Linked DNA regions of Saccharomyces cerevisiae S288C. The gene in region 3 interacts genetically with the main gene of each other region. Each region holds a gene or a part of one and is shown on either strand. Other genes may lie near its edges. The genes, in order: ACS1, DUS3, MET22 and NPR1.

Region 1 (8,080 bases), on a different chromosome or scaffold from region 3:
TCGATACAAGGACTGCCCATAAAGTGGGAGGAGTACGCCGCTGATGAAGTGGTTTTGCTGGTACCTACGAGCCACACTGATGGATCAATGAAACAAGCCATTGGGGATGCCTTTCGCAAGACGAAAAACGAACACAAAATCATATATTGCGATAGCATGGATGGATTATGGTCATGTGTAAGACGGCTAGGTAAATTTCAGTGCATATTGAACTCCAGGGACTTCACAAGTAGTGGTGGTAGCGATGCAGCAGTCGTTCCTGAAGATATAGGCAGGTTTGTCAAATTTGTTGTTGATAGCGATGTAGAGGATGTGCTGATTGACACTTTATGCAATTAATGTAGAAAAGAGTTTCTTGTAACAGTATGTAAAGAATAAATAATTATAAGTATAAATAAAAAGAGAAGGTGAAATAATAATAAGTAAGCAGCTCGGTTATAAGAGAACAAAAACACACGAAAAAAAAAAAGTCGTCAATATAAAAAGGAAAGAAATCATCATTACAACTTGACCGAATCAATTAGATGTCTAACAATGCCAGGGTTTGACAATGTAGAAACGTCGCCTAGTTGGTCACTTTCTCCTGCTAGGATTTTTCTTAAAATACGTCTCATAATTTTGCCGGATCTTGTCTTGGGCAAGTCATCCACTAAAATGATCAATTTTGGTGCGGCAAATGGCCCGATGTCTTTTCTAACAGTAAAGACCAAATGCTTCTTGATATCTTGTAATTCATCATCTGTTGCGGTGGACCAACTAGATTTGTTTTTCAACACCACAAATGCAGCAACTGCTTGACCAGTCAAGTCATCGTTGAATCCGACAACAGCACACTCGGCCACAATTGGATCTTCGATAATAGCAGCCTCAATTTCAGCGGTAGACAGACGGTGACCAGAGACGTTCACCACATCGTCTACACGACCCAAAATCCAGATATAACCATCCTTATCCTTTGCAGCACCATCACCAGTGAAATAGTAGCCAGGGTAAGGGTTCAAATAAGTGTCTAGATACCTATCATGATTTTTCCAAATAGTTCTTGCAAATGATGGCCATGCAGCTTTGACGGCAAGGACACCCTCTGCGTGGCTGGTGTTAAGTTCTTCACCAGTGTTAGGGTCAAGAACAACTGCATCAATACCGAAGAAGGGGAATGAGGCAGAACCCGGTTTCATTGGTGTAACACCACCAGCCAGCGGGGTGACCAGATGCGAACCAGATTCTGTTTGCCAGTAGGTGTCTACAATGGGGATTTCATTTTTACCTATTTTTTCAGAGTACCACTCCCAAACTTCAGCAGCAATTGGCTCACCGACCGAACCCAAGCAACGCAAAGATTTTAAGGAATGATTTTCGATGTAGGAATCACCAGCTCTTTTCAACAAACGCAAAGCAGTTGGCGCAACATAAAATTGGGTGACTTTGTGTTCATCAATAATATCCCAATAACGGGAGTAATTTGGGTACGCAGGAGTCCCTTCAAAGACCAAAGTGGCACAACCATATAGTAAGGGACCATAAACCACATAAGTGTGGCCTGTAATCCAGCCAATGTCTCCAGCTGTGAAGAAAACGTCTTCTTGGTGAGTGTCAAAAGTGTAGCGCATGGTCAACAAAGCTCCCAGCAAGTAACCTGCGGTAGAATGTTGAACACCCTTGGGGGCACCAGTAGAACCAGACGTATACAACAAGAATAATGGATCCTCAGAATCAACGGGTGTGCATGGATAGTAGGTCTTGTATTTCTTCTTTTCTGTTGCCCAATCCAAATCTCTGGGGGCATGGAAAGCAACAGATGGATTGTTGGTCTTTCTATAAACCAAGACGTGTCTCACGCCTGGGGTCTCTCTTAGCGCGTCATCAACAATTCTTTTAGTCTCAATGACTTTACCACCTCTGTTGGATTCATCTGTAGTGATGACAACTTTAGAGTCCCCATCGTTGATACGATCTCTCAAGGAGTTGGAAGAAAACCCGGCAAAGACTACGGAGTGAATGGCACCGATACGGGAAATGGCCAACAAGGTTATGATTGCTTCTGGGACCATAGGCATGTACACGGCAACAGTATCGCCCTTGCGAACGCCCATAGAGTAAGTCAGCACTTGTGCCACTTGACAAACTTCTTCAAGTAGTTCCTTGTAGGTAATGGAATAGCCTTGGCCAGGCTCGTCACCTTCGAAAATAATGGCTTTCTTGTTAGGAGTCTTCAAGGCATGTCTGTCAACACAGTTGTAACAGGCGTTTAATTGGCCGTTGAGGAACCATGCATTGTTCTGGAAGGAGGGCCTGCCCGTTTTAGGGTCTGGGATGAACACCTTATCGAATGGCTTAGACCAGTTTAAAAATTGGGTAGCTTTAGAACCGAAGAACTTAGCAGGGTCTTCAATAGACTCCTTGTGCAAGCGCTGATAGTCCTGCAACCCGTCCAAGTGTGGAGAATAGTGGGTAGCAATTGCGGGCTGCAGTCTATCTGAGATGGGCCGTTGTGGCACGATCTTGACCGAAGTCAAATGTTCATACTCATGTTCCTTCTTCTGCTGCGCAGTGGCGGCAGACTGGGACATTTTTGCTTTCAACTTGTCAATTTCACTTGACTGTTCTTCTAGTTTTGATGATTGTACGGCAGAGGGCGACATAGCACAGTGGGCAATGTCTTTCTAGTAGTTTTGATATGTTTGGTTTTGCTTATAGATAGAAAATATAAGAACAAGATATAACGTACTACCAGATAACCTAAGGGAGAAATATGCTTAGAATAGCCGCCCAGTTTATATACAAAATGAAGGGAGAACTATTTGCCACCGAGGAACTGTACCCCAACTGCAATACCCATTGAATAATGGCATCGGAGGCTCGGCGGCAATTCGTACCCCAACCTTTTTTTTTTACTTTTCTTTGGATCTTAGAGATAACAGAAAAAAAGGATGACCCCAATCATTTGCCACGGCATGTCAACAGGTGAGTGCCTTTTGAGGGGGGGGGGTCATCTCGACATCCGGCGAAATGGAGCAGTCACACGTGAACATTTTTAGGGGATGGAGAGTGCTACGCCGTTCGTCCGAGATGATTATCATATTTACACAGCCGTACATACACGTGCCATTTATCTTGATATCATTCTGGACGTATGTGCACATGTGATTTGCTTTTGTTTTTTTAAGAATGTCGGGTAATAAACAGATTGTTTTTCTGGGAGGATAATCTTTTCTTTTTTCCTGTTGGTATTCTAAAATTAACCTTGCTGTTTCTTTTTTTTTTTTTTTTCGCGCGACTACTCAGCCATCTTGCATTTTTAAAGAAAAAGATAATCATTAATGCCTTCACGGGAATACGTATAGAACATTATTAAAAGTATATGAATGGCATATATATATAGAACACCACCCTTGGAAAACATTTATACCCCTTAAACTAAAACAATTTGCTGCGCTATACCGTGTTTCAGTGTATTATAATACATTCATTTCTGTTTCATTACGATTATATTGACGTGATAAAAAGATTATATAGCCATGATCTTCCTAAACACCTTCGCAAGGTGCCTTTTAACGTGTTTCGTACTGTGCAGCGGTACAGCACGTTCCTCTGACACAAACGACACTACTCCGGCGTCTGCAAAGCATTTGCAGACCACTTCTTTATTGACGTGTATGGACAATTCGCAATTAACGGCATCATTCTTTGATGTGAAATTTTACCCCGATAATAATACTGTTATCTTTGATATTGACGCTACGACGACGCTTAATGGGAACGTCACTGTGAAGGCTGAGCTGCTTACTTACGGACTGAAAGTCCTGGATAAGACTTTTGATTTATGTTCCTTGGGCCAAGTATCGCTTTGCCCCCTAAGTGCTGGGCGTATTGATGTCATGTCCACACAGGTGATCGAATCATCCATTACCAAGCAATTTCCCGGCATTGCTTACACCATTCCAGATTTGGACGCACAAGTACGTGTGGTGGCATACGCTCAGAATGACACGGAATTCGAAACTCCGCTGGCTTGTGTCCAGGCTATCTTGAGTAACGGGAAGACAGTGCAAACAAAGTATGCGGCCTGGCCCATTGCCGCTATCTCAGGTGTCGGTGTACTTACCTCAGGGTTTGTGTCTGTGATCGGTTACTCAGCCACTGCTGCTCACATTGCGTCCAACTCCATCTCATTGTTCATATACTTCCAAAATCTAGCTATCACTGCAATGATGGGTGTCTCAAGGGTTCCACCCATTGCTGCCGCGTGGACGCAGAATTTCCAATGGTCCATGGGTATCATCAATACAAACTTCATGCAAAAGATTTTTGATTGGTACGTACAGGCCACTAATGGTGTCTCAAATGTTGTGGTAGCTAACAAGGACGTCTTGTCCATTAGTGTGCAAAAACGTGCTATCTCTATGGCATCGTCTAGTGATTACAATTTTGACACCATTTTAGACGATTCGAATCTGTACACCACTTCTGAGAAGGATCCAAGCAATTACTCAGCCAAGATTCTCGTGTTAAGAGGTATAGAAAGAGTTGCTTATTTGGCTAATATTGAGCTATCTAATTTCTTTTTGACCGGTATTGTGTTTTTTCTATTCTTCCTATTTGTAGTTGTCGTCTCTTTGATTTTCTTTAAGGCGCTATTGGAAGTTCTTACAAGAGCAAGAATATTGAAAGAGACTTCCAATTTCTTCCAATATAGGAAGAACTGGGGGAGTATTATCAAAGGCACCCTTTTCAGATTATCTATCATCGCCTTCCCTCAAGTTTCTCTTCTGGCGATTTGGGAATTTACTCAGGTCAACTCTCCAGCGATTGTTGTTGATGCGGTAGTAATATTACTGATCATCACGGGACTTCTGGTTTATGGAACTATAAGGGTTTTCATCAAGGGAAGAGAGTCTCTCAGATTATACAAGAATCCTGCGTACCTACTTTACAGTGATACCTACTTCTTGAACAAGTTTGGGTTCTTATACGTTCAATTCAAAGCAGATAAGTTTTGGTGGCTTTTACCCTTATTAAGTTATGCGTTCTTAAGATCCCTGTTTGTTGCCGTTTTACAAAACCAAGGTAAGGCTCAAGCAATGATCATCTTTGTCATTGAACTAGCTTACTTCGTTTGTCTCTGTTGGATAAGACCATATTTGGACAAGAGAACTAATGTTTTCAATATTGCTATTCATTTGGTGAATTTGATCAATGCATTTTTCTTTTTGTTTTTCAGTAATTTGTTCAAGCAACCAGCAGTGGTTTCGTCAGTGATGGCGGTTATTCTGTTCGTTTTGAACGCGGTGTTTGCTCTATTCCTATTATTGTTCACTATTGTCACCTGTACACTGGCATTACTACACAGAAACCCAGATGTCCGTTACCAACCAATGAAAGATGACCGTGTGTCATTCATTCCTAAGATTCAAAATGATTTCGATGGCAAAAACAAAAATGATTCTGAACTGTTTGAATTGAGAAAAGCTGTTATGGACACCAATGAAAATGAGGAAGAAAAAATGTTCCGTGACGACACTTTCGGCAAGAACCTGAATGCAAACACAAATACAGCAAGACTCTTTGATGATGAGACTAGTTCATCCTCTTTTAAGCAAAATTCCTCTCCCTTCGATGCCTCGGAAGTAACGGAGCAACCTGTGCAACCAACCTCCGCTGTCATGGGTACGGGTGGCAGCTTCTTGTCTCCACAGTACCAACGTGCGTCATCTGCTTCTCGTACTAATCTAGCGCCGAATAATACAAGCACCTCCAGTTTAATGAAGCCTGAATCAAGTCTCTACCTGGGGAATTCCAATAAATCATATTCGCATTTTAACAACAACGGCAGCAACGAAAACGCCCGCAACAACAACCCATATTTGTAATCCAATATATACTCACATGTAACAACTTATTATATAAATATTTAAGGGCAAGGATATCCTACATTATATTTCATAGAAAACCGCTCAAAAAGGTGTATTATCTCCATTACATCCCAACACCACACATATTTCAGCGATAAAAACCTTAAATGTGAAATTCGCTTTGGCTCTGCTTCCTTAAATGTACGCAATTGCCGCTTTTTTCTGACATCTTTTTTGACGTGTAGAGAAGGAAACAGATCCTCCAGAAGGGATTTACTGTTGGCTATTTTGTGTTAGAAGCAGGTTAATAATAGATTAGGTTGCGTAAGTCATGGTCGAAAATAGTACGCAGAAGGCCCCACATGCCGGAAATGATGATAATAGCTCTACCAAGCCATATTCGGAGGCGTTTTTCTTAGGGTTCAATAACCCAACGCCTGGATTAGAAGCTGAGCACTCAAGCACATCGCCTGCCCCCGAGAACTCCGAAACACATAATAGGAAAAGAAATAGAATATTGTTTGTCTGCCAGGCTTGTAGGAAGTCAAAAACAAAGTGTGATAGAGAAAAACCTGAATGTGGTCGATGCGTCAAGCATGGGTTAAAATGTGTTTATGACGTATCAAAACAGCCAGCACCACGAATTCCGAGTAAAGACGCCATTATATCAAGGTTGGAAAAAGATATGTTTTATTGGAAAGATAAAGCTATGAAGCTACTAACAGAGAGAGAGGTGAATGAATCAGGCAAGAGATCAGCAAGTCCGATCAATACAAACAATGCTAGCGGGGACAGTCCTGATACCAAGAAGCAGCATAAAATGGAACCTATATATGAACAAAGTGGTAACGGGGATATAAACAATGGTACCAGAAATGATATTGAAATCAACTTGTATAGAAGTCATCCAACCATGATCATGAGTAAAGTCATGAAAAGAGAAGTTAAGCCGTTATCTGAAAATTATATTATAATTCAGGACTGTTTTCTAAAAATCCTGGTCACTTCAGTGTTCCTTGACACTTCAAAGAACACGATGATACCGGCATTGACGGCAAACGCGAATATTACAAGAGCCCAGCCTAGCGTAGCAAATAACCTTTTGAAATTGAAGGAAATGCTAATCAGACAGTGTCAAACCGAAGATGAAAAAAATCGTGTAAACGAATTCACTGATAGAATACTACAAAATACAAATTCAAATAGAAACTTGAAAATCGGTATGCTATTATCAATGCTTTACAATTCTGTCGGTTACCAATATCTGGAGGATCATTGCCCTCAAGGTGGCGAATATTCGGATTTATTGAGAAATTTGATCAATGAATGTGAAGCTATTTTGCCATCTTACGAAATTATTGAACGCTACAAGAACCACTTTTATGAGTACGTTTATCCAAGTCTACCTTTCATCGAATTAGAAATTTTTGAAGAATCATTAAGTCAAACAATTTTTCCGGACCCAAACAACCCCTCCAAGGTGCAAATACGTATGGGTAGCACACATTTGAGAGCTAAGGTGGAAAACTTGAGTCTTCTATTGGTTATCTTGAAACTCTCATACATGTCAATAAGGTTTTTAGATCATAGTACAGCAGACTCGAGTTTTTATCTTTCAAAGGAAATAATTGATAAATACCCAATACCGAACGATTTTATTTTATTGAGTCAAAGATGTCTAGCATCGGAAAATTGGTGTGCATGCGCTAATGAAAACATCATATCATGTTTACTATATATCTGGTCTTTTTTTGCTTTTTCTCCTGAAGAGGGTGATTTCTTTCTCGAGCACCCCACCGATGTTATCAGTAGTTTGATAATGATGCTTTCCACCTCGATTGGTCTCCACAGAGATCCTTCAGATTTCCCTCAATTGATTTCCCCGTCCACCTCAGATAAAAGAACCTTGAATCACAGAAGAATACTCTGGTTGAGTATCGTTACCGTTTGTTCGTTTGAAGCAAGTCTCAAAGGTAGACATTCTGTCTCACCGATATCTTTAATGGCCTTATTCCTAAATATTAAGGATCCTGATTCTCTGACGGTATATATGAACCGAGTTAGGGGCGATCTAAGCGATATCAATAATCACAAACTTTTGAGAATTCATAAATTTACATTCAAGAGAGCCCAGCTTGCGTTACTCCTGTCGGACTTAGATAACTTGACGATGACATACTATGGTAGTTTCCATTTGCATTCAATTGAATTCATAAGAGAAAAGATTG
Region 2 (8,231 bases), on a different chromosome or scaffold from region 3:
TGCTGGGTAATACAAACACGAATCGACGTAAAACGTTATTGTACTTCCTTTCCGCGGCTAATAGCAACTGCAGCGTAGGAATAAATATGCCAAAAGTGTAAATCCAAGCGCCTGATACAAAGTAGATGTTGAATTGTTTTAAAAGACTTACTCAAGTACCAGGAAGGAGCTATGTGAACGGGATGTAATGAACTTTCCAGACACCCCAGTTTGCGAAATGCCTTTTTTCAGAGGCGACTTGCGAGATTCAAATCACTGCGCGTTTTCTAAATCCACCTGTATTTACCTGCTATTTGAGCCACTCAGGTACAGTTGCATCAGGTTGATAGTTATGTTCATTTGTGTTGCGATGATAACCTGTCCGAACTCGTTAAGATTTTCTCAATACACTTTTCTCCGCTCCTACCTAACCCTTCCCAGCTGTGCTTATTTTGATTTTCTTGGAACCCATACCTCACGTTTGAAATTGACACCCGTACATATTCCAATTCTCGTCTTGCAAAGGAAAAATAACCGCGCTTACCCATCAGATATGATTTATGATACATGTACACTTGATTTTCTATTTAGGAATCTCTGTTTGCATAAGAGCTGCTCTTATGTTTGGGGACAAATACAAAGTTCTCGTCGGTTTTACCGAAAAATAGATCACTTAGCTTGATCCAATCATTAACATCCGTACTACCCATTAGAGTTTCAAGTTCGTCTCTTCCACACCAGTTTGGCGGTCTCTCATTCAACTTCACAGGGTATCTTTCACAAATACCCATGGGGACATACCTATGAAAAAAGGACATGAACTCGCAGAAGAATCTACGACATTGAGAAATGCCGTATTCGTCGGTGCCCCAGTGTTCCATAGAGAACTGCGCATAATCCCTTAAAATGTCTAATCTTTCCGTACTTGTCTTGTCTAGATACTGCTGCGACTCAACCTCTTCAAAAATCCATGGTTTGATCAGGGCCCCTCGAGCAACCATAACACTATCAATATTTTCATTTCCGTTCAAATAGCGGTACCAGTCTTCAAAATTGTTGACATCACCATTTCCGACAAATTGAATTCTGTTCTTGGAATCCCTGCCTTCTTTGCCTTGTTCGGTTTCGATGAAATCCGCTTCGGCGGATCTCAAGGTGTCAGCCACTTGACTCACGTAGTCCCAATCCGCAGACTTAGTGTACCTTTGTTGCCTAGACCTACCGTGTAAGGTAATCGCAGCCACATCAGTTTCGTTAACCAGTCTTTTGACTAACCCTTCCGCGATAGGATGACCTTCCTTTGTACCTGTTCTGATCTTCACCGTGATAGGAATATCTTTCGATACGTAGTTCATCGCGTTTAAACAACGAATCATTCTTGCAGGGTTATCCAGCAGGGCGCTACCAGAACCTTGTCTGTATAGCAAATCGATGGGGCAGCCAGAGTTTAAGTTGATTTCACTTATTTCACTGACGGAGTTTGCGAGTGCTTCTGCAGCCTTTGCCGCCTGCCAGGCTTTAGAACAGGCCACTTGAACCCCGAACCCGGGGAACTCTGATGTGTGAGCTTTAGGTAACGCCCACTCAGAATTAGTTCCTTGAATTAAGGGAACTGCCAAGGCCATTTCCGAATATGTCACATCTGCACCTAACTTTCTCATTAGACGACGGTATGGTAAATTGCCTACGGTTGTCAATGGCGACACGATTTTTTTGTGGTACAAATCCAGTGGCTTTTTTTCTTGAGCAAAATAACGAGTGTCCTTGTACTTCAAGTATACTTCACGCTGTTTCATTCTATGTTCTGACAATTCTTTGTTCCTCTGTTCGACTTGGGGGGCAACTGGTTGTTCCACATCTGGGTCTTGTTTCTTCAGCTGTGGCGTTGACTCAACTTCTTCTTCTGGCTTCATGGAATCTCTACATTCTTGTTGGAAAGAGTCGATGATTTCCAATATTTCATTACTTTTTGTGAAAGGAAATCTTCTTTTTATAAGATCGAGTTTTCTTTCCGGTGAGATATGGTTTACCTCACCTTTAACGGACCATATTGTTTGCGCATCTGGATCAATCTCCTTCTTCGATATTAGGATATTATCTTCTTTATTCAGATGAGACGATAAAAATCTGCATTTGAATCCCATGGGGCAAAATCCCAACGAGTTGAAGACCGGACAGGAAGGAAATATATTACTTTCAACTTCAGGCTTTTTTGTTGAAAGGTACAGATTGATATCGTGAACAAACCTACAGTTATCACCAAAGGAGCATTTAGATATATCGCCATGGATCAAGCGTGGGCACAAGACATTCTGTTCCTTGACCTGCCTGTTATCTCTATTCTTGTTTTGCCCACGCTTCTTACCTCTTCCGTTCTTATTTTTCTTATTAGTCCCACCTGCAAACTCGTTTGTCATTCTGTCGGAAGACATCTCTTCATCATAGATGGCGACCTTCTGGTTTTCATTCTGCTTCAATGGTACAATATATTCTGGTTTGATATGTGCAATACCTTTGGACGGGGAAGTGTCTTGTCTCTTCACGGTTGAGTTGTCGTCGCCAACAATAGAGCGTTTTTCAGCGTTTTGCTCCATCAATAATGTTTAGAAGTTGCCTTTTTTTCCTATTCTGAGTTCATTAATGTTTCATTACTGCTCATCTCATCACTACACATTCGAACTAAATTCTTCATAACTTTAACTAGATCTTATGAAACTTTTCAAAAATGGTGCACGGGCTTTCTGTATATTGAACTTTCCGTCGCTTTTCGGAGCTACAATTCCCCTACCCGGCTTGTCGGCATTAAGTCTCTTCATCCCGTGTACTATTACCCGACAGGTTTCTGCGGCATGTTCTGTGGAACGACGGTACGGGCGGTGACTGGGTGCCAAACAGTGCGGCGTTCCCGTGCGCAAGGTGGTCTGCGGTAGGAAAAAGAAACAAAACGCGCCTACGTCGTGCAAGGGGACAGGATTTTGTCAGTTACATAATAAGGAGCAATTTCGAATCAATTGAAATTTGGAACAAATGGGCGATGCATTCGTTAAAAGGCGATTTTGTATCAAATAACGTCACTATCAGCCATTGTCACTTGCCACTGTCGCCTGCCACCGCTATTGCCATTATCATTTGCTTTCGCATCGTCACCGATTTAAAGCTCTCTAGGCTAACGTACGCATTTTACCTCCCAGGCCCTATCTCTTTTCTACCTGTCATCCCTATATAACGTCTTGTACATTCTAGTGGCTCCGTTAACAAGGTTTGACAAATATTACAATCAAAGAAGGATAGCGCTAGTCAATCTAATCATTAAGTTCGCTTATAAAGAGAAGGAAAGCTAGATTTTTTTTCTACTTCAATTACATATCGGTGCTTCTCTCTGGTGGTTTTCTGTTTTTCTAATATTGATCGATTTTACGGTGAGTTAAACTACTTCCTTTTATCGCAATATCATATTTAGAGCGAGAAAGCAAGAAGAATAAAGCTAGGAGAAAAAAGCGCCACGATACATTCATACTAAGTTTATAATATACCGGTCGTCTTTTGGCTTTCTGATACCATATTATATCCTCGAAACACTTTCTCTGGATTCACCTACTATTAATCACCTCAAGATTTCACTTGTAAGGCGTTTTCAAATTTATTGTTATTAAAAGACATATTCATATTCAGTATTTTTATTTTTCTTCGAAACAGGAAAAGCTTATCTGAGTATGGATTTTACAACAATGACTATGGCAAGCAATATGGCTACTAGTACTACTACGACGGCTACATCGGCACATGCATCTATAAATTCGTCATCAAACTTTAATATTGATATTGATTCGAACCAGAATACTCCTTCCATTTTGATAAATAACAATTCGGATTCTTCTAATGGAAAAAACACAGATTTTAACGGCGTCAATAATATTCACCAAAAAAATATCATGAATAATACAAATAATGTTCATTTGTACTCTCCAAATATAATGGACCAAACGCTACTAACTCCACAGGACATTGCCAAGTTACGGAGAGAATCAATAGCCCATTCTCAAGGGATGGGTGGTGTTTCATGGGGATCCATTAGTGTTGGTTCTTGGTTAAGAGATGAAATTATTAGCCGTAGAAATAGTATTGTACCTGCATCAGCAAACGGTGCTGCCTCCGCTGCCGCTTCTGCAACCACTACTGCCACTAATACTTTGCAGATTCAACAACCAACTAAGAGACCCTCTGTTAGTAATCCGCCTTACCATAGAGGGTATTCTATTTCTCCTCAGATAGCCTACACTGCTTATCTGCCAAATCTAGAAAAGCAATATTGTAAAGATTATTCATGCTGTGGTCTTTCCTTACCAGGTTTGCATGATTTGCTGAGACATTACGAAGAAGCTCATATATCCACGTCTCCTAACACTACCAATATGTCACAAATACCGATGAACTCTGCTGGTAACACTAGTTCATCAGTTCGTATGACAAATAATACCTCTTCTGCCAACTATAACCTGCAGAATAACATGGCCGCTAATACAAAAAATGCAGGTCATAAGACTAATACTATGCAGGCTCATAGCAGCAATGCAACTAATAACACCTCCATTAATAATATGCATGCCAATCTTCAGAGCAACATGGATTCCAACTCCACAATACGACAATCTCAGCATCCTCACCATCAGCAGAATATAATACAACAACAGTTGCAATCGAATTCTGTAAATCATACATCAGGGGCTGTACCCACACCGAGTGTAATGGGTTCAGCAACTGCGTCGTCCACAACTGCAAATCCAAATGTGATATCTATAACGGGTGCCCCCAACTCGGGCTTATCTATGGCTAATCACTCTCAACAACTACATCTGAATGGTAATCTAGTCGATGCCGTTTCAACGAATGATGTGTTTTTAAGAACGAGCAATTCTCCATCAAGACACGTTCCGCACAATAAACAAATTAACAGTAACAATAATAGTGGTATCAATATCAATAATAATACCTCACACAATTCTAATATTAACATGGGTAGTAAAAACGCCATGGTGAATCGTCCACATACTTTTAATAACTATTCCTTGAACAAAACGTCCAGGAATCCTATTCAACATCAATCAAGAAAAATTGATCCTCATCAAACCGATTTATCACCTCTGGTACTTGTCCAAGATATAGATTTAAGTTTTATGGATGATGATATTTTGGGCCCTAGTAACCACAATTCCATGAACTCTGTCGTAAATCCAACTACAGGTTCTCACAACTACAATACTTTTCATTCTTCCGTACACGCAAAATCTTCTCAAAACATGGTCGAGGATCAAGACATTGATGACATTGATGATGACGATGATGTTGATGATGACGATGACGATGACGATGACGATGACACAGAAAATGGCTCCAGTTCCAATGGAAAATCAGTTCATAACAACAATTACAAGATGCCTCAGCAAGCTTATATAGACGATCCTGCGAGAAGGCTCTATGTAATGGATCATGAGGAACAAAAACCCTTTAAGTGTCCAGTTATTGGTTGTGAAAAGACTTATAAAAACCAAAACGGTTTGAAGTACCATAGGTTGCACGGACATCAGAATCAAAAATTACATGAAAACCCTGACGGTACATTTAGCGTAATAGATCCAGATTCGACAGATTCTTTTGGTGATGGAATGGGCTCTGCAAAGGATAAACCATACCGTTGTGAAGTTTGTGGTAAGAGATATAAGAACTTGAACGGTTTAAAATATCACAGGGGCCACTCCACTCACTAAGATATAATTGTTTCTTTACTGAATTGATTTAGTATGCTATTTAGATACTAATTCTACCGTTACCGACTCATGCATCGAGCGGCCGCTCTTTCTCTTGTTGTTGGGCGCAATTTATGTGATCATCTTTGAACGAAAATGCATGATAAAGCTGTGCTCTTCGACTGTTACCATTAATTTCAAAAAATAAAAAGCATATCTATTATTGAAAAATGAACTTATAATAGAATAACATTTTCTTGTTTTGTCATCATTTCCTCTAAATACTCCGTCATGAAAACGATTTGCGCTCTGTCTGGTCTCTCCTTTTAGTATTATTGTTGTGTGTTTTTTACTATTCATTTTTTACTACTGTGTTTTTACTATATATATTTTGGCTTTACTTACTTCCTTCTGTTCTGATGTATTAAAAACTATTTTTATTCTAAGAAAAGAAACTTTAATTCTTCTTATTCATGCTCTAAATCTTAAATAAAAGGTTCCGTTTTTTATCTGCAATTCTGTGTATTTGTAAGTGAATTACCATGCACGTTGTCGGATCGTTTTTCTAGGCAGAAACTATCTTATTGAACCATTAAAAGATTACTTAAATATTACAATTAATCTTACGAAGCATATTAATTAGACTGGAATTACAGCGCAACTATCACAGGTTAATAATTGGTTGAGAAAATATTATAGTTTTGTTAGTAATGTTGAACTTTTATTTTATACACTTATGAAAGTAAATTAATTCAATATCAATAATAATATACTATAAGTAACTTAAAAAGCAACCTTCCTCCCAAACCTACAATCCAATCACGCTGATAAGTATTATCTAGAAAGTTGACAACACCAAGCCATATGGTCAAGAAACATTTATTGAGAGTTATTTTGTAAATAAGACTTTTCGTCATCCATATAAAGCAACCTAATTGTTCATCTAATACTAGAGTCGCTCTTTTGAAAGTTAAGTATAACTACCTCATCATTAGTTGCTACTATGTGTATAATTTGAAAATCTCAACGTAAGGTTATTAAAAATATAAATGCGCGTAAGACAGAAAAATAGAGACAGCTTACGGCAAATTATCAAAATGTGAATCCAAGGTTTCAAGAAAATAAGATAAAGTGAATAGGAAGGATGAAAATCAATGTATCCCGTCCATTACAGTTTTTACAATGGAGTTCATATATTGTTGTTGCATTTCTGATACAATTGCTAATCATTCTTCCTTTATCGATCTTAATATATCACGATTTTTACCTAAGACTATTACCTGCCGATTCCTCTAACGTAGTCCCCCTTAATACGTTCAACATTTTAAATGGCGTACAATTTGGTACAAAATTCTTCCAATCTATTAAAAGCATTCCGGTAGGTACAGATCTGCCGCAAACAATAGACAATGGCTTATCACAGTTAATCCCCATGCGTGACAACATGGAATACAAGCTCGATCTAAACCTACAGCTTTATTGCCAGAGCAAAACTGACCATTTAAATTTAGACAATTTGTTAATTGATGTTTACAGAGGTCCAGGCCCGCTATTGGGTGCTCCTGGAGGAAGTAACAGCAAAGATGAAAAAATCTTTCACACTTCTAGACCTATTGTCTGCCTCGCACTGACGGATTCCATGTCGCCTCAGGAGATCGAACAACTAGGCCCATCACGTCTAGACGTTTACGATGAAGAATGGCTAAATACAATAAGAATAGAGGACAAAATATCGTTAGAGTCTTCATATGAAACAATCTCGGTGTTCTTGAAAACGGAGATTGCCCAAAGAAATCTAATAATACATCCAGAAAGTGGGATTAAGTTTAGGATGAATTTTGAGCAGGGATTAAGAAACTTGATGCTTCGAAAAAGATTTTTATCTTATATTATTGGCATTTCAATTTTCCATTGCATAATATGTGTACTTTTTTTTATCACAGGTTGCACTGCATTCATTTTTGTTAGAAAGGGTCAGGAAAAATCCAAGAAACATAGCTGATAGAATTGTACTTCTCGCTATATAATTTTAAAACCTAGCTGTTATTTTCTAAGTAAGTAGGCTCTTCCAGCATTCTGCTTCTTCGCCCTGAATAAAAAAAAGATGATCAGCGAAAAAACTCAAAATGAAAATAAGAGATGGATTCTTCAAAGTTATAATTCATATGCAGAATAAAGATTCTAAAGAAAATGCACACAATGCATATTCCATCCGGTGATGTTCTGATACCGAAGCCGAAGCTTATTACTGAAGAAACAGATCCACTGCATATAATAAAGACGAGGCAAAAGACACATGGTCGGCCCGTGACCATTGCAGGCCCAATGGTTCGGTATTCCAAGTTACCATTCCGTCAGTTGTGCCGAGAATATAACGTTGATATAGTTTACTCCCCCATGATTTTGGCAAGAGAATATGTCCGTAATGAGCATGCAAGAATCTCAGACCTTTCTACAAATAATGAGGACACCCCGCTAATCGTCCAAGTAGGTGTAAATAACGTGGCT
Region 3 (7,262 bases):
TCCGATATCTTCCGAGTACAAGTGATCAATAATCTAGATGTTAGATCGCCTGTTTTGACACTGGGCTCAACTACTTTCCATCACATCAGGTCGAGGCATGGTGACAATTTGTGGTTGGTAACCATTACGAGAAGCAACGCTAATAGTGCGGCGATCTGGGAGTTCTTATATAAGCTTGATGCAGTGATGAATGCTTATCGATTGGATAGAGAGGAGGCCTTGAAAGAGGAATTCATGATTGTGCATGAGATGCTGGATATAATGTTGGGTGGAAATGGGATACCAATTGACACTGAATTGAACTCTGTTATAGCGCAGATGTCTGTGAAACCCGTTAGAAATATGGGCGGATTGTTAGATAGTCCCGATGGAAATGATGTATTATCTTCCTCTTCATCTCCTACTTCTTCAGCAGGAGAACTACATTTTCCCAAATTTTTGACAAAAAGAAGCAGTAGTTTCCTGGGTCAAGGAGACTCCACTTCTGATTTCTATGATAACAATAAGATCACTTGGAGGCCCAAGGGGATAATACACAAGAAGGATGAAGTTTTCTTGTATGTCAATGAGAGGATAAACATTCTGGTATCTAGGGATGGTTCTATCTTGAAATCATACGTTGATGGCACCATAGATATCACCACACACTTGAGTGGGACCCCTATTTGTAGATTTGGATTGAATGATTCTTTGGGAATGCAGTCCGAAGACGAGAAGAAATGGTTAGCACAGCAGCAGCGTCACTCTGGCAGCGATTTTGGAAACAAGAACTTCATTCCCAAAGCTGCTGCCGGTAGTGTTTTGTTGGAAGATTGCAAGTTTCACGAATGTGTCTCACTTGACAAATTTAACAGAAATCATATCATTGAATTCGTCCCACCAGACGGTTCGATGGAGTTGATGAAATATCATGTACGAGATAACATAAACCTGCCGTTCAAGGTTACACCTATTGTTACACATTCTACAAGAGATAACGAGATTGATTACAGGATAACATTGAAGTCTTTATTTCCTGGAAAACTTTCCGCCAAAGATGTGGTACTACATATACCCGTTCCACCAAGCACTGTGGATTGTAAGATAAGTGTCTCTAATGGCCACTGTAAGTTTGTGCCAGAAGAAAATGCAATGATTTGGAGGTTCAACAAGTACAATGGGTTGACGGAAAACACTTTAAGTGCAGTTACTGTGTCCACAAGTGATACTACTCAATTGAATCTTCAACAATGGACAAGACCTCCAATATCCCTGGAATTCGAGGTCATGATGTTCAGTAATTCTGGCTTAGTCGTACGATACTTTACCATTTCTGGAAAAGACAGTAAGCATCGTGCTGTAAAATGGATTAAATATATATCGAAAGCCGGTTCTTACGAGGTGAGGTACTAGCCCGTAATTTTTGTGTACATATATTTTTATCATGCCTGTATTTTTTATAGTAATTTCCTTTAGAATGCACATTTTGTTAATATTGAATATTTTCTATTATGAGAGACATGCAATTTAGTTTTTCATTGAAAAGAAAACAGGGAAAAAACATGGAAAAACCATACAAGACACCAAAAACACCATAGTAATGAAGATCAACAGCGCAATCAAGAGGCACTGGTACTTCTAGGCTTGAAAATTTGGTTTTGAATATAATGCCCCCTCAGATTCCCAATGAAAATGATGATCTCTTTACAAGGTGGCTTAAGTCTCGGGCCATCATACAAAGGGCAGTATCGACAAGAGAGTGCTTTGACTCAGAAGTATTTCTGGCGTCTGGTGGCTGGAATATAACGAATGAGATAATAACGTTAAAGAAATATTATCAACTCAAGTGGCCAAACTCCAGTTGCAATTCGTTTCATCCAAAAACCGTGGAGTTTATTAAAGAACGATTACACAACCTAGAAGAACATGACTCTTCATGGAAAATCCCAAATCCTGCTTACTCATTCAAGAAAGCCTTCTTGGAGGATACTAAATCTGCATTTTCCAACTTAGAACCCGTCTGGGGACCATCAAGGCTTTTGAATCCAGCTGAATTACTATTGCCACAGGACGAAAAACTACTTGTTCAAGAGATACCACTAGAGTTCGCACCTTTTCAATACACAAATAGGTTTGCTTATGGTGGTTTGCAGTTCAAGAACAATTTGTTCGTCACTTATGGGAGTTATTCCTTCCTGGCTGCCGGTCAATGCGTCGAAGTTCATAATTTCGATATACTATTGAACGTTTCGTCATTAGAAATATGTCACGCCTTATTGCCCGTGATAATACCAGATGACGGAGATGTAAGAAACTTCCGCAATTCATCATATGTGAAATTTAAGGATACACAGTTCAACAGCATACCTGAACTATGTTCTATCAACTTTATGAAGATTTGTAACTTCATGCATCAAGATTTTCTACTAGCTTGCGGTGACAACGGAATCGTTTATATCTGGGAAATCAACAAAGTTATTAAGATATTTAATAAATTTACTTCGGATATCTTGGGAGGCAAAGATAACAGCCGGGAAAGATACATAAATGTTGATCCATATATGGTGTTAAGAGTAGAGGAATCTTGTTGGAGTGTTGATGTAATAGATATAAATGGCATCATATATATCGCTGTTGGCCATAACAAGCCTGGAGTTACAGTCTTTGCATTCGATAAAGATGTAAAGAAGGAAAGACGGTACATTCGGCCTCTAGATCTTCCCTCATCTCACAATGTTCCTTGTGTTAACTTTGTTCCTAATTCAAAAGATTCTGTTGGATATATTACATTAAGTTATTGTTCTATATTTGGGAATGTTGTTACCGTTAAATTAAAGGAGCATGATTGTACCATTTTAACGAGTTTCCTTGATACTCAATTTTTTGGCGACGACTTATGGACAATAACTCCACTGACTAAGAAGGATTTTGCGAAAGTTGACAATTTCGAATTGTTGAATCTTAACTACCAAGACGGTTTCAAAGAAAGCATGTTATATTCTATTTGCCGAGATGATTTTTTACTTGGGTATTACTGTGATAACGCCTACCTCTCTGGGAATTTCGGTATTGGTACATTACTCAATCAATTTCAGGTTCCTGTCACAGACCTACGACTGACTTCTTCAGCAGGGATCCCCGATGAAGTTATACCATTAAGATTTACCTCATTTGATAGAAATTACACTACAACGGGCTCGATAAAATACGAGTACAGCAGAGAGGATTTTGCACTTATTTTACATGCCGGTGACTTAGACGATATGAATGATGCAGTGACAAAAAACACCTCATGTGAACAGCATTTACACCAATGGACATTTTGGGAGGATTCTGGTTATAAACATTATCGTGCTACTGAGCGTGGATTTTCGAAATACAAGGATATTATTAATACTTTTCCACAGTTGATAACTCCTAGTGGAAGAAATAAAACATCGCAATATCAAAACACTTCTGGGAGAAAGATCTGTGAGCCGTCTACTTATAAACTTACTGATCTCGAAAATGATATTGAAGATATATCTCGCGAATTTAATAGAAGTATTCGTAATTTGAAAATGGATAAACAAAGACAACTACGAACTTCAAAAGAGTTCAAATCGCTAAGTTCAGTAAATCATATACCAAATATTGAATCGGGAAACTTTTTATGGTACAACACCGATGCCGCTGCCGATTGGAGAACACTTTTTGGCAAGGATTTGAACACGGTCTTGAAGGACCCAGAAATTTGTAGCCTTCAACTGAACTCTACAGAAGAGGACGATGTCAATAGCGACCCTGAAAATGAAGAATCTGGTAGCAGCTTAACAAGTTTCCAGCGAAGATATAGGGATACTGAACAGCGTGCTCACTTGAAATCAGAATCGCAGAAATCTTGGGGGTTCCACAACTATGTAAGAAACGTCAAGCGGTTATTAGAGTCAGCAGTACCGGGCTCAGAAGATTCGCCTCTTGGGTATCAACTATCCGAAATGCACGACGAGTTCTTCTTCCTAACCACAGCCCATAGGCTGGTGTTGATGAAAGCAAATCCACTCATAATTATATCAGCAACTCATCATGAGATTTTTCCCTTAGATGGTGTTGTGACGTGTGCTTCCAAGTCGCTGCTCCAAGCACTAAACAGAATAAATTTTGTGTGTCACATCAAAGAACTAAATTGCATAGCCGTGGCTTCACAATTGGGTCTCATTTCATTACTAAGACTAACAGAGTACAGAGGCATCTATTCGTTTAGACAAGAGTATATTCTTGGATGGGAAGTCCAAGACCCTGTTAACCCTAGTCCAGAGTGCAGATGTAACAGGAACTTGTTTGACGCACCAATGTATGGTGCAGATGGAGAGAGCTCGGACACATACTGCGGCGTGTGCGACGTCTATTTCCCCATGGGTGATATTTGCGGACTAGATTACACTTATGCATCTGACAGTGAAGAGTTAAAACGTAAGGGATATGCTACCTTATACGTAGCATCAAGAGGCTCCTTGAGGGCATTCAAGATCACAACTGAGCATGGAACAACTCAACAATAGCATATTTTGACATTTACATAGCCATCTATATAATAATCCTTCCTTCATTGAAATGCGCGAATGACTCAGACGAGCAATATCACGTGTTGCGATTTTACTTTCAGTTTGCAAAGAAGAAACCATGCCACATATAAAGAACGTTTGCACTTCTCTTTAATTTATTAGTTAGTAAGTAAGAAGTTTAAAGACAACTCAGAAGACATCAGCACTTTACTATGGCATTGGAAAGAGAATTATTGGTTGCAACTCAAGCTGTACGAAAGGCGTCTTTATTGACTAAGAGAATTCAATCTGAAGTGATTTCTCACAAGGACTCCACTACTATTACCAAGAATGATAATTCTCCAGTAACCACAGGTGATTATGCTGCACAAACGATCATCATAAATGCTATCAAGAGCAATTTTCCTGATGATAAGGTAGTTGGTGAAGAATCCTCATCAGGATTGAGCGACGCATTCGTCTCAGGAATTTTAAACGAAATAAAAGCCAATGACGAAGTTTATAACAAGAATTATAAAAAGGATGATTTTCTGTTTACAAACGATCAGTTTCCGCTAAAATCTTTGGAGGACGTCAGGCAAATCATCGATTTCGGCAATTACGAAGGTGGTAGAAAAGGAAGATTTTGGTGTTTGGATCCTATTGACGGAACCAAGGGGTTTTTAAGAGGTGAACAGTTTGCAGTATGTCTGGCCTTAATTGTGGACGGTGTTGTTCAGCTTGGTTGTATTGGATGCCCCAACTTAGTTTTAAGTTCTTATGGGGCCCAAGATTTGAAAGGCCATGAGTCATTTGGTTATATCTTTCGTGCTGTTAGAGGTTTAGGTGCCTTCTATTCTCCATCTTCAGATGCAGAGTCATGGACCAAAATCCACGTTAGACACTTAAAAGACACTAAAGACATGATTACTTTAGAGGGAGTTGAAAAGGGACACTCCTCTCATGATGAACAAACTGCTATCAAAAACAAACTAAATATATCCAAATCTTTGCACTTGGATTCTCAAGCCAAGTACTGTTTGTTAGCATTGGGCTTAGCAGACGTATATTTACGTCTGCCTATCAAACTTTCTTACCAAGAAAAGATCTGGGACCATGCTGCAGGCAACGTTATTGTCCATGAAGCTGGAGGTATCCATACAGATGCCATGGAAGATGTTCCTCTAGACTTCGGTAACGGTAGAACGCTAGCTACGAAGGGAGTTATAGCGTCAAGTGGCCCACGCGAGTTACATGACTTGGTGGTGTCTACATCATGCGATGTCATTCAGTCAAGAAACGCCTAAATAACATATATTTTACTTTATTGATAGACATAAATATATGAGTACATATATATATGTGTGTATGTGTATGTACATACCAGTTAAATGATAACCTTTTTTTATTGTTGTTATAGCGTGAAAAAAGGAAAATACAGTGAAAAGAACAAAACTGAAGAGGTAAGAGTAGGCTAACAAAGAAGAAAAGTGAGACAAGAAAATACAGCAGGATTCTGACCGAATGAACAAAACGAATTGGAAGGTATCTGTAACTACATTCAATTGTGGTAAGGAATTTCCCGTTGAAAATTCGAAAGCAATCGTTAAGCAATTGCTTTTCCCCTACGATGACGGCATCTCCCAATTGGAATTGCAAGATCTATATGTGTTGGGGTTCCAAGAAGTAGTCCCCATATGGCAAGGCTCCTTCCCTGCTGTTAATCGTGATTTAATCGATAGAATTACAACTACTGCGGTTAATTGTCTGAATGAAAAAGTGTCAGCTACACAAGGGGATGAGCAGTATTCATGTTTAGGGGTGAATAGTCTTGGGGCGATTACCATAATAGTATTATACAATAATAATGCGCTAAAGGTAAAAGATGATATTTTGAAACGGAATGGGAAATGCGGTTGGTTTGGTACACACTTGAAAGGTGGAACTTTGATAAGTTTTCAGATGACACGCAATGGCGAGGAGAACTGGGAAAGATTTAGCTATATTTGTGCTCATTTAAATGCAAATGAAGGTGTCAACAATAGAAATCAAAGAATAGATGATTACAAACGAATAATGAGTGAAGTGTGTGATTCTGAGGTTGCAAAAAGCGACCACTTTTTCTTTCTAGGCGATTTGAATTTTAGGGTTACTAGTACTTATGATCCAACTACCAATTATTCGTCCACCACAACGTTAAGGCGTCTATTAGAAAATCATGAAGAACTAAATCTGCTACGTAAAGGAGAGGATGAACCGTTATGCAAAGGTTTTCAGGAGCTGAAGATAACATTTCCACCGACATACAAATTCAAGTTGTTTGAAAAGGAAACATATAATACAAAAAGAATCCCGTCGTGGTGCGATAGGATTCTCTACAAAAGCTATGCAGTGCCAACTTTCGCACAAGAAGGTACTTACCATTCCGTCCCTAGGTCCAATGCTCTATTATTTAGCGATCATCAACCCGTTAATCTTACCGTAAGATTACCAAGGTCTACAGGGACGCCAGTGCCGTTATCCTTACATATCGAAAAGTATCCTTTATCATGGAGCTCTGGCCTGATTGGACAAATTGGTGACGCAGTCATCGGGTACTGCGGTTGGCTAGTTACTAAGAATGTACATTATTGGATATTAGGTTCTTTACTATTATATTTACTATTAAAAATCCTGTAAAGTGATCTGGGCTGTCAGGCTAGAAGTTTTTCATTTATGTCTGAAACAGATAACGTCAGTTGTACCACTATCTTTGGTTTT
Region 4 (8,124 bases), on a different chromosome or scaffold from region 3:
GTTCGCCCTATCTCATGGGGGCACAATTTCATTATGCAGGTTCGGCGGCTAAAAACGGCAAACCCGTATTCGTGTATCACCCGGCCAGCTTTCTCCGATGAACGCGCACAAGTAAGAAGTTAAATTGCATCCCCCAGACACCACCTCTTTTGTTCACTTCTTGCCTCATGCCGTCAAAAAATTTTTTTCGCATCGAAAAAAATCCCCAAAAGAAAAGAAAAAAGTTCTTATTTTTATATAGTGCCACCATCGGGAAAAACTTCCCTGTAAAGCATTAACAGAGTCTTCCATCCCCGCTTCTGTCCTTTATTTGTTTCATAGAAGCTATTAAGCATCATATACTGCACACAGGAGCATGCATAGTGTCTGAAGCCTCTTTTGTTCTGTACTGCACATAATATTTCATAGAAAAACTAACGGAAAGAATCTACAACTCATAGTATCTGTAAATCCGTCCTATTGTCATATCACAATCACAGACTATGACCACTCAAGAATCGATCAAACCTTTGGTAGATAGAATCCTATCAAATCCCCTGCAGTTCAATGCTGCAATGATCTCTAACAAATCGAATAATAATGATACTTCCGCCGCGCCGGAAAATAGCTCGTATATTGTGATAGGAAAACAGCATAATAACAATAGTAATAGCACAGCTATTGCTGCAACGGCCGAATCCAAGCAAATAAAAGAAAATAACTTGATAGACAGGCCAAACGGAAAGAAAACCAACACTGTTCCTAAATCTATGGCTGAAGCTTTATTGTTGTATACTTCTAAAAATGATAAAGATGCTGCAGATGCTACTGGTGCCAAGAAGTCAGCGGAGCTTTCTACGGAGCTTTCTACGGAGCCTCCTTCCTCTTCTTCGGAAGATGACAAAGTAGGAAAAGAGGAAGAGGAAGAGGGTGAAATATTTCATGAGGCAAGAGACTATGTAGAACCCCGAAAAGCTAGTTTGAAGGAACGCGACAACGCAGATAAGGGCGATGGTGAAGACATCGGCGAAGACATCGGTGAAGACATCGGTGAAGACATCGGTGAAGACATTGGTGAAGACATTGGTGAAAACTTGGGTTCTCCATTAGCAACCATTGATGATTCATCTAATGAGAATGAAAAGGAAAAAAGAAAGGAACTGTCTACAAGCATTAGCAGTGATGACGAAATAGAAGACGACGAGGATGAGGATGACATGGATTATGATTCTAGTGCTATGGAAAAAGAGCTCCCTGAAGAAGAGGAGAACGATTCCAGCTCCAAAATTTCTGAAGGCGAAAAAAAGAGTTTATATCAAGATTTAATGGAAAATAGTACAGTGGAAGTAAATCGGTACGAACCAGTAAACAACACCAAAGAAAATGGAAACAGGAATCCAAAGGGAGAGGAGGAGGAAGAAGAGGAAGAAGAGCTGAAACATAAATCTAGGTCAATCACCCCTCCGGTTACAATATCAAATCTATCAAACTTTTACCAATTCAATGAAAATATCAATGATCGTGGTTCTTTAAACTCTACTAGAATTGTTAAAAATTGGGGCGACAAATTCACCAATTTGAAGCCTCGTGGCCTTTTGAATCATGGTGTTACTTGTTACACAAATGCTGCTGTACAGGCTATGTTACACATTCCTTCGATACAACATTATCTTTTTGATATACTAATGGGGAAATACGATAGCACCATCTCAAAAAATTCCGTTTCCTATACTTTAGCTGAAACAAGTAAAAAAATGTGGTTACCGGTCTCAAAAAACCCTAGAAAGAACGTTTCAGCTTCCTACATTAATCCAAAACATTTGATTTCCAGATTGGATGACATTAATTGTATGATGAGCGAATGGCAGCAGGAAGATTCACATGAGTACTTCATGTCTCTGATGTCAAGATTACAGGAAGATTCTGTTCCCAAGGGTCATAAACTTATAGAATCGATAATATATGACATATTCGGTGGTCTTTTAAAGCAGATCGTTACTTGCAAATCTTGTGGCAGTATATCTAAAACAGAACAACCATTTTACGATTTATCGTTGCACTTGAAAGGGAAGAAAAAACTTGATCCAAATTCTGACCTGTCGAGTGATAGCATTAACGGCACTTCAGCCACCACTTCTACCACTACCTCCAATGCTGCCACAAAACCATCTCTTTCATCCTCTTCATCTGTCAATTTAAACAATGGCTCACCATTTGCCGCTGCCAGTGATTTAAGTTCAGCCAACCGCAGATTTTCTATTGAAAAATCAATTAAAGATTTCTTCAATCCCGAATTAATCAAGGTTGACAAGGAGCAAAAGGGTTACGTTTGTGAGAAGTGTCACAAGACCACGAACGCCGTGAAGCATAGTTCAATATTAAGGGCTCCTGAAACTTTACTTGTGCATCTGAAAAAATTCAGATTCAATGGCACGTCCTCATCAAAAATGAAGCAAGCTGTTTCTTATCCTATGTTTTTAGATTTGACGGAATATTGTGAGAGTAAAGAGCTACCTGTCAAATACCAACTATTAAGCGTGGTGGTTCATGAGGGCCGCTCCCTTTCTTCAGGTCACTACATTGCCCACTGCAAGCAACCAGACGGTAGCTGGGCCACTTACGACGACGAGTATATTAATATAATATCTGAAAGGGACGTTTTAAAGGAACCCAACGCATATTATCTCCTATACACGAGGCTAACTCCAAAATCGGTTCCATTGCCATTGGCGAAATCTGCCATGGCCACTGGTAATGTTACCTCTAAATCCAAACAGGAACAGGCTGTTAACGAACCAAATAACCGCCCATTGAAGATTAATAGCAAGAAAAATAACAGAAAAAAATGGAAAAAAAATAAAAAAAGGAAGTTCACCAAATGAAAAAACTCGATATTCCTGGATTTTCCTCTTTTCATAGGCATTTTTATTAGCATTTCATTTTTATTATACCAAATCAATATATACATATAAATATCCGGTCTTTATTGACTTATAAAACAACTCTCAGTATACAGAGTTGGAGAAGCGTTTACTCAGAATAGCTTCAGTACTACCGAGCTTTGCTAACATAACGGGAGAAAGAGAATTTAAAACTTATATACATATTTACAGAATAGATCAGTAGAAAGAAGAAGGAAGGTCTGTTGAAAATTTCTCGAAATTGACGGTACTTTTTTGTCTTTTCACTACTTACAGATCAAGGTACAACCTTAATACCCATACTTTTTGCAACGCCAACTATTGATTTAACAATACCTTCCATCTCCAATAAACTATGCCTTTCATCACTCTTTTTTATCTTGGCTATTTCGTAAACGTGCTTCAGCGATAACTCTCCTAAAGCACGGGTTGGTCCCTTGGCAGGTGCACTGCCTAACATTGTCCCCACATTCGGTTGTCCATGTCCCTTGTCCATTTTAAGAGCTTTTAGCAGCAAATATCCGGTTGGTGGAGATTTCATTTCAAACGTAAATGTTCTATCAGGTTTTATTGTGATTAATACTGGAACCGGTACACCTGGCTGATAGTTTGCTGATCTTGCATTAAATTCCTTACAAAAGTCAATGGCTTTTATACCCTTGGAGCCCAATGCGGGCCCCACGGGAGGTGATGGTGCCGCTTGGCCTGCTCCTACTATTAGCTTTACTATCACGTTTTTTGCTGCCTGTGACATTATGGAGACTAATAGTTCCTCTATGGTATTCGAGAGTTCGAAAGTACAACAAACAGAAATAAATACAGAAGGTTACGCTGTCGATTTGAATGTTCACGCTTTTTTTCCTTCTTATGAGTTGTAGATTTACTGCACTTTCTAAAGCTTCTTTGCTGTGAAATTTTAGAAAAGGGAATTGTCGCCTTGGTAAGACAATTAATGTTACCCGCTTCATTATTATTAATTAGTGGCGCGATATTTTAACGAACTTTTCCATTAATTATTATCATACTAAGCTTTTACATTTTTCTGATAAAATAGTAGATTATGAACAGGAGGTCAATCTATTTAGGCTTCTATAGAACGGTAAAATATGAAATTAGTTTAACAGAAGTAAATATGACATTGTATTTTAACATATACTCAAATAGGATAAAAAAAGGTTATATACAAATGCTTGGAAAAGAAATAAAAGTGGGGACGCTTATTTATTGATTATTTTGCTTTTTCTTTTTCTTTTCTAGGCCTGCAATATGTGCTTCACTTTGATCCACTTGTGTGTGATGATGGTCTTCTCCTCTAACCACTTTGAACGATAATCCATCTTCAACCAAGTGGCACATATCAATGCTACGGATCCAAGGATCTTCCATGATTTCTTCGATATTTCCTCTGCATGCGGGCGCCAAATCAATCATACGTCCAACAATATGCTGAGTCTCTTCTGGTAATGAGTGCAACAATCTTTGTGGCCCGATATTAACATTATTAGGATCTGATACATTATTGGAAGAGCTTTCGGGTTTTTTCTTTTCTGTTGAGTGCGATTCATCGTAGGAAGGTGGATCAGGAGTTCTTGTAACCAAGCTACTTAAGGAGTCGCAATCACGTCCGGAACAAAATAGTTTGAATGAATTGTCCCTTAATTTCGGAATTTTCCATGGAAATTTCTTCAGTATCATACATGCAAAAATGATTGCAGAAGACCAAATATCTACGGGACGTGGGTCATACTTCGCAAATATACAGACTTCAGGTGCTAAATATGGATCACTTCCAACAATTCCACTTGCTTCCACAAGATTTTTTGAGAATGGATATGAAAATACCACAGCAGCACCAAAATCGATTAATTTTACAATACCTTTTTCGTTTATAACACAATTATCTAGCTTTAGATCTCTATGAGCTAAGCCGATACTATGCAAATATTGTACACCAGTAAGTATTTGTTTGAAGCAACAACAAATCTCTTCATAGGACATTTTATTACTCATTACAATAGCAAATAAATCGTATTCACAATATTCCATAACTTGGAGAATTCTATCATTTTCATACACGATTTCAATTGTTTCAATGATATTGGGATGATTCAAAGTTGTACCAATACAGTATTCTGATGTAATTTTCTTGACATAATCTCTTTTGGATTCATTTTCAAATTTAGTTCTAAACTCCTTCACTGCAAATATTTTGTTATCTGAAATTCTTTGAGCTAATTTGACAGAACCTCCTGCTCCAGCGCCTAAATCGGCACCGGTTTTGATGTACCTTTTTGAGAACGGAATTCCTGAACCGCCGTGACTATGAGAATAAATAGTATCTCCATTTCCGTTATAACTAGTGGAATATGAGTTATTCCCTGCGGCAAAATGAGACGATGAATGAGAGTGTGACGGAACGGCAATTCCGCTAGAAAGAGGTGATCCGTTCGGGATCACGTTGTTACTATTCGAGGAAAGGTTACTGTTAGAACTTTTTTTGAAGAACCTCTTTAAATCACCGATGGAAGAATGTTGTGACCTTGGAACACTTTGACTTGGAGGTAAGTGGTCATGTACAGATGAGGGGGAACCGTAAAAGTTATCAGTATAGGAACCAGTTGGCTGTCTTGATGCAGAATATATGCTGCTTTGTCTTGCGCGGATAGGCTTCGGGATAGGCGTCGAACCATTGGTAACATTGGGATTCTTAATGTTTGGAGAAGGACCATTGGAATTGGCAGAAAAAGACATGCCTGCAGAGTTAGAATTTGAAGATTCTTTTGAGTTTTTGGAAAAGAAAAAATTCCCAAGCTGTGAAGAGAATGAACCTGAACGGGATATAGATCTTGATTGAGTGGCATTTGCATTATTACTATCCATCGATGCTTTTTGGAGTTTTTGTTTGGAGATAACAAAACGTGGTTCCACGCTATCTACTTTTGGGGAGGATATAACATTTGAATCGATTGCAGAAATATTATTGGGCATACCGCCTGCATATGTTTCGAGCCACGAAGAAGACAAAGAGGAGCTGTTGCTATTCGAGCTATTGTTATCTTTGTTAGAATTTGGCACGGAGTAAGGTATACTTGATGATAAAGAAGGAATGGCCCTTCCTGAAGTATGTGACGTGGTAGATAATCTACTTGTGATTCTGTTCTGTGCAGCAAAAGAACCACCATGTGAGGAAAGTCCTGCAGTACCTTGATCGTTTATTAAGGATCCAAATCTATCTCTACTTTGTGCACTTGTGCCGTAGAATGATGCAGTGTGAGCAAAGTTTGCATTAAGGAAGCTGGAGGAAAACTGATTCCTATCGTCGAGAGAGGAACCGGCTGTTGATGATGAATCTTCCTCTGAGTATATTTGAGTAACAGTTGTGACACTGCCAGGAACTGGCACGTTAGCCCTATTACGATCACTACTGCTGCTATTACTCACGCTACCAATATGACTACTACTCTTATTCCTAGAGTGAAGGTCAAGCGATTGTGACTCGGGCGTCGTGGTCAACGTATCAGCAGAAGTTCTCGGTGATGAGTTCGAAGTTTCATTTTTTCGTTTTTCCTGTAGCAATCGAGTTAATGAAGACATAATGTTTCGTAGAGCTTTCCTTTTTTGTTTGAATGGGTATGAGCTGTTGGAAAATCAGAAATAGGAAAGAGTTAGACAAAAGTATTAATGAGTTCTGGTACAAGCCAACTAGTTTGTATGGGGTTGAAAATGACGCAAAGGAACGAGAACTCCTGTTTATTATTCTTTCAATAACAAAAGCAAGATTTTTAGTCACTGCCGATTGTTGCCACTAGGTACGCCACTGACTAATCCGTACTAACTCTATACAACTAAAGGCGGCCCATATTCTGAGATAAGCTATAAGGGTAGGAATTGTGGGATGCGTCATTGATAACGAAAAAATTCCGTAATAGATGATCAGTCAGATTGAGAATGAGATGTTTCGCACAAGTGATGAATTATATCTATCTATGCTGTATATTTTAATAACATTCCTATTTTATTGTACAAAATGCGCGACTATTCCGTTTATTGCTTGTCAAGCATCTGTTGGTGTTCCTCGTACAGCTTTTCGTGCATGTCACGTAACTCCTTGTAGGCATGAGTTAATGCTTCTATGTTGGTCTTAAGTTCTGTAATTTCCTCATCTTTAGCGGCATTGCTGTCTAAAGATGAAGTGGCGTCGATTTTATTGTCAATCACTTTTACATTGCTTGACACCTTACCGATATGTGAAAATATCGATTCTTGCGTTTTGACCTGCTCCAAATAGGCATTAAAGTCGTTAAGTGGTAATGCGAGGTTAGGATCTGTCTCTGCTTCTGGTTCTCCTATCTGATACCAAATATCGTGTAAATGGCCTTTGTTTTTACCATCAAAGATAACTCTTTGTAAGTTTGGTATCTTCATAAAATTGTGACCATTATTATTACTAGGTTGTTTGCCTTTGGATTCTCCTTCAAAAAGTAAATTTCCACGTTCGAGTCTGTAAGGGTTGGTTAAGAGATTGGTCACTTCTCCAACTGAATCCTGTGATGTAGTTAAAGTTTGGATAGTTCTAATGATTTGTTTTGAGTAAATTTCCGCAATAGAAACTTTCCCCTCCGTATCACCGATCAATAATAATGTACCATCCATTGATATTTCTAGGCATGACACATTTGAATTTAGGACATTCTCACAGACAAGTTGGCCCATTGCATATAGTGCATCCAAATCTTCATTTTCGCCGCCAGTTAGTGAGTTACGTTGCACTAGGGAAAAAACCCTACCTTTTTGAACTGTGTTTACTCCGGCGGACTGTAGCAGATTAACGATAGCATTACCCTTTAGTTTATAAAATAAATTCAATGAAAAACAACCTTCCGCAGTACCAATATAGCATGCTCTGTCAGCAGGATCCAGTACAATGGATTTGATAGAATAAGGAGTTGTAAATGTCGCAAGCAATACTGGGGTCTTACCAATACTAACGTCATTTTCGTTTGCCTTCTGCTTCTTTTTGCTGCCTATTAAACTCAAATCATAGCATCTAATGGTAGCATCTTGAGATACTGTGAAGAGTTTCGTATCAGTACATGATAAAAATTTTCCTTGACTAGAAGAAACTTGGAAATCTGTCACGGGTAGAGTATGATCGTGAAGGATACATAAAGGCTTAGGATCATCATTGGACGCTGATACCAAGTCAACAGTTTGCCATATAATA

What was found.
Region 1: mutations in MET22 (region 3) and ACS1 together harm fitness more than expected from each alone (negative genetic interaction), as found in Saccharomyces cerevisiae (2 studies listed by BioGRID).
Region 2: of MET22 (region 3) and DUS3, a mutation in one rescues a mutant of the other (synthetic rescue), as found in Saccharomyces cerevisiae (one study listed by BioGRID).
Region 4: mutations in MET22 (region 3) and NPR1 together harm fitness more than expected from each alone (negative genetic interaction), as found in Saccharomyces cerevisiae (2 studies listed by BioGRID).

The regions. Positions count from the first base shown.
Region 1 is NC_001133.9:42,381-50,460, forward strand, and holds ACS1 (acetate--CoA ligase 1), read right to left. Parts: upstream 2,643-8,080; coding exon 501-2,642; downstream 1-500. Other genes in the region: ubiquitin-protein transferase activating protein PEX22, read left to right, coding at 1-339; flavin adenine dinucleotide transporter FLC2, read left to right, coding at 3,519-5,870; oleate-activated transcription factor OAF1, read left to right, coding at 6,184-8,080. UniProt on the Saccharomyces cerevisiae protein: Catalyzes the production of acetyl-CoA. Provides the acetyl-CoA source for histone acetylation in the nucleus. 'Aerobic' isozyme of acetyl-coenzyme A synthetase, which supports growth on nonfermentable carbon sources such as glycerol and ethanol.
Region 2 is NC_001144.5:921,876-930,106, forward strand, and holds DUS3 (tRNA dihydrouridine synthase DUS3), read right to left. Parts: upstream 2,574-8,231; coding exon 567-2,573; downstream 1-566. Other genes in the region: zinc-coordinating transcription factor SFP1, read left to right, coding at 3,693-5,744; SEI1 (seipin), read left to right, coding at 6,868-7,725; DUS4 (tRNA dihydrouridine synthase), read left to right, coding at 7,914-8,231.
Region 3 is NC_001147.6:204,650-211,911, reverse strand, and holds MET22 (3'(2'),5'-bisphosphate nucleotidase), read left to right. Parts: upstream 1-4,735; coding exon 4,736-5,809; downstream 5,810-7,262. Other genes in the region: APM4 (Apm4p), read left to right, coding at 1-1,392; CRT10 (Crt10p), read left to right, coding at 1,647-4,520; phosphoinositide 5-phosphatase INP54, read left to right, coding at 6,027-7,181. UniProt on the Saccharomyces cerevisiae protein: Phosphatase that converts adenosine 3'-phosphate 5'-phosphosulfate (PAPS) to adenosine 5'-phosphosulfate (APS) and 3'(2')-phosphoadenosine 5'-phosphate (PAP) to AMP. May regulate the flux of sulfur in the sulfur-activation pathway by converting PAPS to APS.
Region 4 is NC_001146.8:289,016-297,139, forward strand, and holds NPR1 (serine/threonine protein kinase NPR1), read right to left. Parts: upstream 6,495-8,124; coding exon 4,122-6,494; downstream 1-4,121. Other genes in the region: SWT21 (Swt21p), read left to right, coding at 1-52; ubiquitin-specific protease UBP10, read left to right, coding at 483-2,861; mitochondrial 54S ribosomal protein uL11m MRPL19, read right to left, coding at 3,178-3,654; YNL184C (uncharacterized protein), read right to left, coding at 3,542-3,868; chromatin-binding/pre-rRNA-processing protein IPI3, read right to left, coding at 6,945-8,124. UniProt on the Saccharomyces cerevisiae protein: Nutrient-regulated protein kinase that promotes the activity of at least 6 distinct transport systems for nitrogenous nutrients under conditions of nitrogen catabolite derepression.